Oryza sativa Japonica Group: one gene and its partner. The protein of the gene in region 2 interacts with the protein of the main gene of each other region in a pairwise test. Links are inferred from orthologs where the notes say so. Each region holds a gene or a part of one and is shown on either strand. Other genes may lie near its edges.

Evidence for each region. The genes of interacting proteins can lie anywhere in the genome.
Region 1: the proteins of SCAR-like protein 2 (region 2) and probable protein BRICK1 interact in binary tests that used the Arabidopsis thaliana proteins (3 or more experiments, as listed by UniProt). The link is inferred for Oryza sativa Japonica Group from reciprocal best matches to the Arabidopsis thaliana genes WAVE2 and BRK1.

What each region holds. Positions count from the first base shown.
Region 1 is NC_089036.1:36,178,035-36,181,782, forward strand, and holds probable protein BRICK1, read right to left. Parts: upstream 2,250-3,748; 5' UTR 2,141-2,249; coding exon 2,002-2,140; intron 937-2,001; coding exon 815-936; 3' UTR 387-814; downstream 1-386. Other genes in the region: pentatricopeptide repeat-containing protein At3g62890, read left to right, coding at 2,464-3,748. UniProt on the Arabidopsis thaliana protein: Involved in regulation of actin and microtubule organization. Part of a WAVE complex that activates the Arp2/3 complex.
Region 2 is NC_089035.1:5,898,873-5,902,620, reverse strand, and holds the start of SCAR-like protein 2, read right to left. Parts: upstream 2,586-3,748; 5' UTR 2,123-2,585; coding exon 1,911-2,122; intron 938-1,910; coding exon 774-937; intron 293-773; coding exon 169-292; intron 107-168; coding exon 1-106. UniProt on the Arabidopsis thaliana protein: Involved in regulation of actin and microtubule organization. Part of a WAVE complex that activates the Arp2/3 complex. Regulates trichome branch positioning and expansion.

The DNA.
Region 1 (3,748 bases), on a different chromosome or scaffold from region 2:
AAGTGTGCCACACATAACGCTGGCTTCTACAAGTAACGTAGCTCTTCTTGAAATCTTGAGGTGGATGGCGATCGATTGTCTTACCCCTGTACATTTGAAAAGGCTGCAGCGCCATTACCTATCCCTGACGCGAGCATATGAGAAGGGCACACGCCACACCCCTGGATGGCTGCCTGCCCAAATCACTAGAGGCAGCGTTAGTGCGGTAAGGAAGCACCGCGGCAGTCAAGACATACAGGAAGAAGCTGCTAGGCTGCACCATGGGAGGACGTGGTTAGGAAGAGCGTCCACACTCGGACGTTGTTCCCAGCAGCGTCCATCACTGGATGTCCTAGTAGATAACGTCCATTCTATTTTCCTAAATCCCCTCCATGATTTACTACTTATTTAATTTCAAGGATAATAATTACCATAAATAAAAAATTCGGGCCGGCGTCTGTCCGACTGCGTGCAAACGTGCAATATTCCCCTAAAAAGTTACAGTTTTACAAGGGAAAAACTCCACATTCCAACAAGCAAGCAGGCAACATTGCAGGTTTGCACTCAACAATCGGTTAGTTATCTCCACACAAACTTGGAACACGTTACAATTGTACATGGAATTGAGTAGAAAAGAAGCTGCCTTGCACGCTACTGGCACTGCATACAGATTAACACACACACACACACACACACACACACAGACAGAGAAACACACAGGAACAACCTCTCCTCTTGCACCCACAATACAGACATCCAAAGCTCTGTCCTTTTGAACCCATAACACATTGAAAGCACTACTTATGTGCAGACAAGCAGCCCTTAACTGCACTTACTAGTTGAAAACGGATGGATTGGTTGTTGCGCTGCTCACTTGAACCTCAAGCACCTCCAGTTTCCGCTCTAGGATGTCCAGCTTCTCATTCAAGGACGCAAGTTTGCTCTTCGTAGTAGCTTCTGCACAAATGCATACAAACCTGTGTAAGCATATTAGTTAACTTGAATAAACATGCATGCATAAGATATGCTACCCCCAGTCCACTCTGTTTTGCTGACATGCTCGAGTTCCTAATCAACATGGAGCGATTATGTTGTGAATGCATCTTGTTTGGAGCAAAAATGGAAGGTATGATAGTTACCAGTGCCTTAATCCGGACCATATTGAAAAGGTTCAATATGCATTCTGGACTAAATGTATACACGGAGGGCAAAGTACAGAACACATATATTCTGCACAGTAATGTTCAAGGTATCTTTCAAGCTTTGTTTTTGACAGTGGTTTAATGGACATAATAAGAAGCATACAGGGCTTGGAAAAGCACCAAGCCAATCCCTCCTTTCCAAGTAACAACTACTCCACAATTATGCAAAATTTTAGATAATGACAATTGTGCAAATCAGACTGACTAGAACATAGTCACTGGAGTAGTTGGCTGGCCAACAGGAAATATGCTGTCTTGTCAATGGAAGCTTAACTAACGTTGATTTAATAAGCTTATAGTCCAGAGAATTCATATCGTAGAAAAGATTTAAGAACAATTAAAGGTCTATATCCAGTAACACCGTTACTGAACTGAATTTCCGAATATGCTTAAGTTAGTTTGTTTGGTGTGACGCTGGCAGCTGTTGGAAGGGCAGAAGAAAGGCTTGATTTATAGATACTGTGTTGACAATGGCAGAAACAAGTTCAGATTAGAAGGGAGGCAGAATGGGTTTAGAGTTGATGGTACTAGTGTACATGGGTGAGGTAGAGCACATTTGTGGAAGGCAGGGAGAGTGGAAATGAAATTTTGGTTGGTGCATATGCATAGCTGTGTCGCCAAGACTAATGGAAATGTGGAAGCCCAGTTAGGGAAGGAGCAAGGCAGATCTAGTAGTAGAAAGGAAAAAGGGTAATGCAGATCCAGAGAAATGTGGCTATGCCTGAGTAGAGGAAGCAGAAATAAATGTGAATCCAGTGCAGGTCCATGGAGGAATTATGGGAAGGATAAGGAGGAAGAGGTAGGAAGAGAAAAAACGGACCGAATCGGAGGAGGAAGTCGAAGAGGCGACGGACGTTGAGGGAGATGTTGGAGATGAACTCGCGGTTCTCCCAGTCCGCCTGCACCGCGATCCCCACGTTCACCGGGTTCCCCATCCCATGCCCGCCCGCGCGAGCCATCTCCCCCTCCCGATCGATCGATTAATTACCTGCTTCTTCTTGGATTCCTCCCTCCCCCGATTCACCTCACCTACTCTACTCCTCCTCGCCGCCGCCGCCGCTGCTGCTCGTGACGTGACGTGCTGGTGTCGTCCCCTCCTCATCTTCATTCTCCCGCAACTCCGAGTGGCATCTGTTGGGCTGGGCCGGCATGCATGAGTTAGCCCACGCACATGAGCTTGAACAAATTCGGCCCAGTTTTTCTTTTCCCCCACTACTTTCATTTCCTTTCCTTCGACCTGGAGCAGGGGAGCTGCTTGTTTGCTGGCTCTGGCTCGGTCTGGATGGTGGCGCCGCCGGCGGCACTGCATCTGCTACTGTCCCGCCCTTGGCTGACCGCCGCGCAGCTCCGGCAGGCCCACGCCCACCTGGTCGTCTCCTCGCTCCTAGCCGACCGCTTCTTCCCCAACTCGCTCCTCCGCTCCCTCCTCCCGCCCTCCCACTCCCACTCCCCGCTGCGCGCCCTCCGCCTCTTCCCGCGCCTCCGCCGCATCATCGCTACCAATCCCTTCTTCCCCAACGCCTACACCTTCTCCTTCCTCCTCACCGCCTCCGCCTCCCTCGCTCCTCTTCCCCACGCCGCCTCGCCGCGCGTCCTCGTAGAATCGCTCCACGCCCTCGCCATCCTCGTCGCCTGCGACGCCCACGCCTACGTCTCCAACGGCCTCATCCACGCCTACGCCTCCTGCGCCCTCCTCTGCTCCGCCCGCCGCGTCTTCGATGTCAACGTCTCCTGCAGGGACGTCTGCTCCTGGACCTCGCTCCTCACCGCCTACGGCAGGGCCGCCCGCCTCCACCACGCGCGCGCCCTGTTCGACGCAATGCCCCACAAAACCACCATCGCCTGGGCCGCCATCCTCAGCGCCTACGTCGGCGCCGGGAGCTTCGCGGAGGCCGTCGACGTGTTCCAGGAGATGCTCAGGGCCCGCGTGCGCCCCAACAGGGCGGTCATCCTCAGCGTGCTGGCCGCGTGCGGGGCGCTCGGGGCGCTGGAGCAAGGGCGGTGGGTGCACGCCCACCTGGTTGCCGCCCACGGCGCGATGGCCAAGGACGGGATGGTGGCCACGGCGCTGGTGGACATGTACGCCAAGTGCGGGAGCCTCGAGACGGCGAGGCAGGTGTTCTCGGGCATGGCGGAGAGGGACGTGTTCGCGTACACGGCCATGGTCTCGGGCCTGTCGGACCACGGCCGCTGCGTGGAGGCCATCGAGCTGTTCGGGCGGATGCAGGAGGAAGGGGTGCGGCCCAACGAGGTGACCTTCATCTGCGTGCTGAGCGCGTGCGGGAGGGCGGGGCTGGTCGGGCGCGCGAGGGAGATCCTGGGGAGCATGTCGGCGGTGCACGGCATGGAGGCCGGCGTGGAGCACTACGGCAGCATGGTGGACGTGCTGGGGCGGGCGGGGATGGTGGAGGAGGCCCTGGAGGTGGTGCGGAGGATGCCGATGAGGCCCGACTCGTACGTGCTGGGGGCGCTGCTGAACGCGTGCGTGGCGCGCGGGGACACGGAGGGCGGGGAGGAGGTGGCGGCGATGATGGCGGAGCTGGGGCTGGACGACCGCAGCGGGGTGC
Region 2 (3,748 bases):
TTGGAAATTTCCTGTCTTGTCTGCTCTCATCATATCCCATGCTTTCTTGAAGTATGATGGATCAGAATGTCTCCTCGAACAAGCCCCAGCTCCAGCATTATCAAATCTAAAAGACAAAACATTTCAGGAACCACAAGCGCATCAATAAAGAAAACAATCAAGTCTTACTTATCAAGAAGGTAAAGTCGTGGTGGGTCTCGACATTCTTCATAGGAATCCATCATAAATCGAGGTAGATCACTAGAAAGCAGGTGATTTTGCTCATCTTTAAGTTGTGCATGCCAATCAGAGCCTGCATTTTACCAGCACATTCAACAAAACTGTGAGACCATCTTAAACCAAATTATTCGGTGAGAGCAAGTGACGTTCAAGTATGAGACAGCATCTGACTTTGTACCGTGTAGATCTAGTAACAGTAAAACTAAAGTTTAATTCATTACCAACAACCAGAGCAGCTCTAGCATCATACGGCTAGGTTAACTTACCGCCAAAAAGGTCTATAGCAATTTAGCGACACCACCAACTTCAATTGGAAGTTCCTTATGGGTTTGGCCATTTTTCAGGTTGGCATTTTGTGATAAACTACTATGGACCTCATGCACAACATCAGGTTACTTCAACTAGTTTCAGTGCATTCTGATGGGTTTGTGGGCAAATCAGTGACAAGTAATTGGTTAAGATGGTTGTTGACAATTTAAATATTCATAGGAACCCTTAGCATGGTTTCTTTTATACTCCTGGTCATGATATATTGACACTGATACGGTATGTACCTGGTACATAAGTGAAATGTATATGGCTCTTCTGATTCTTGACAGCTTTTTCAAGAGATGGAAGTGCTGCCTCGATGTTCTGTACTCGAGTCAGCACCTTGCGCCCCCTAGCAGATGTAGTTATAACTTGCTCATGTAAGTCGTGAAAAACATCTGCTGCAAATCTGGTAAGACCAAAATATCTATTTAGCCATAGTAAACTAAACGATTACATGAAAATAGAGGGCTCACAACATAGTCGAACCCAACTAATAGCCAGCACTTCAATTTTTACCAGACACGGTTAAGAAACATATAGCGGTAATAAAAAGAAAGAAACATAGTAAAAGCAGGCAGGTATGTAGGGATGTAGGGCGGTATTCAAAAGTAAATCAATAGCCAGAAACAACTTCCAAAATGATGGTGGGAGCTTTTCATCAACAAGCAATGGAAATTGCCAACAGCCCTTGAAATCCTCAAGCCAGAAGTAGCAAAGACATTCAATAACATCTATCCCAAAACCCAAATGCATCCAATCACCCCTTAGACTAACTGATGGAAAAGGAAAATTTCAGAATTACCGGCGATGTCATCCAAAAACAAAAGGGAAATTTTCCAAAGCATAACCTATTACCCCCATGCTAACACAAGATCTTACTGAAAACCACAGTGAGATACTCAAAATACATAAACAGTTTCGATCAATTCACCAAAGCATGAAACCCGAACAAAGCAAATGCGGCAAAAAACCACATTGGTCAGCCATTTCCCACTCCTAAAACGCATCCAACCCTAGAAAGAGATCCCAGACACATATCCAGTTCTGGACAGGCAGCTCCGCAAAATTTCTCGATAACCAACAGACCGAAATCCTACTCTAATTCCTAAAACCCAGCGTGCCACTCGTCTCATCAAATCCAACCTCAACCCCAGATCCCCCTTCTTCTCATCACCCCAATCCTATGCACAAACCAACACACACCACCACTCCCGAACAAGCGCGAAACTTCCCCCCGGAACTGCAGCGGCTCGCCGAAATCATCACACACGAAGCGCACCAGATCCCGCGCTGGAGCCACAAACTCACGCGGCAACTCGAATCTCGCCTGAATCACAGCGCCAAGGAGAGAGGGTGAGAAGTAATGTGGGGGCGCTTACTCCGCGAGATCTCCGAGCTGGCGCAGGATCCCGACGAGACCGGCGACGGCGACGCCCTCGAGCAGCGCCTTGGGCTCCGCCTCCCCGCCCTTCTTCGCAGCAGCCCCAACTCCTCCTCCTCCTCCTCCTCCTCCTCCACCGCCGCCGCCGCCGTACAGGTCGGGGTCCCCAAGCCCCACCTCATTCCGCACCTCGAACCTCACCAGCGGCATCTCCCACCCACCTCCACCTCCACCTCACCGCCGAGCGGCACCCCTCATCCTACAACAATAAAAAAGGCGACGCCGCAACGGCTACTTTTCCCCCGGTGGTGGTGGGAGCCGGTGCGCCCGCCGACTCCGGTAGCTCTCCCCCGGTGGTGTCGTGGCGTCACAGGTTGCCGCCTCCGCAAGGAAGGAAGGGGCGCGAGGAGTAGCAGCAGCAGCAGTGGAGGCGAGCGACGCCGACTTCGATCGATCGAGCGGGCGGAGGCGCGTCGGTCTCCGACAAGGTGCTGGGCGAAAGGGACGGGGAGGCGAGGGGGGTGTAAAGTGGTGGTGGTGGCTACTACTGTGGAGGGCTTGTACTGGTCGGAGGCGCGGTGCGTGCGTGCGTGTTGTGTGCGTCTCTCTCGCTGTTTCTTTTCTTGTGTTGTGGCGACTTTGAGGCTTGGAAGTTGGAAGAAGAAAAGGGAAATGGAACCTGGGAGTTGGGACATGCGTTTTGTGTCGTTACGCTGTACACAGATATGAGAGGTCAATTGGTTTTATTTTGGGGGGGATTTGTTTTGATGGACTGAAAATTGGGGGGGGGGGGGGGGGGGGGTAGGTATATGATTGTTGTATTTGTATGCTTGTTTATGAGGGGGTATTGGGTTGGGCTCGTAGGTTAGACACAATAATTTAAACAAGTGTGTGTAGGATACTTGTAGCAGCTAGGTGTAGTACTATCATGTACTCTAAGATATACTTGTGCTTGAGATATAGCCTGGCTAATGATGGTGGTAGAGTGGGTAAGTAGTGGTTTTTTTTCTCGAACGCGCAAAAGGATTGCACGTCAATATATTAGAAGAAAAAGAGTTTTAGTTACACACCGCAATCAGCCAGACTGGCTTATGCTAGGGGAAAGAAGAAAAAGCAAAAGAAGAAAAACCTGAAGCTGAAGCTTTAGAGAAACTACGGCGGCTAAAAACAGACTCCAAGCAGCGGGAAGGGGCTAAGCCACGCTACACTCCCAACAAATTCCCAAAAGCGGCGACGCCAACTAAAGACCATAAATGGCCCTCCGCATGGATGGACTCTAGAACCACTGGGATCGAAGAAAGAGCGGAGTTAAAAACCCTAGAGTTCCGCTCCTTCCACAGACACCAAGAGACCAGGAGCACCATGGAGTCGAAGCTGTCGCGGAGGTGCTCTGGTAAGCAGGCCCTAGAGGATGGCCACCAGTCCTGGAACCAATTGCCACGGGGTGGAGAGAGGGCAGACCGGCCAGAAGGCGACAACACCCGGAGCCAGACCTGCCGAGCGAACACGCAGTCGAGGAGAATGTGGTTCGCCGTCTCAAGATCCTGAGCATAAAAGGGGCAAGTCGAGTGACTATCGATGCCACGCTTTTGGAGGAGATCAGCCGTCCAGCAGCGCTGCTGGAAAGCAAACCAAAGTGGGTAAGTAGTGGTGATCAATGATCATGTCAAATTTGACGAAAATGTGACATTTTTTGGGTGAACCCTTAGCGTGTCTCTTCTTTATCAGTGAAACGAGGCCTAGTTTCTAATTTTCTCAAAAAAAAACTTTATCATTTTCGTGGAGAAATATATAATCCATCAATCCTAAAATATAACAAGACATAGCATTCGCCAT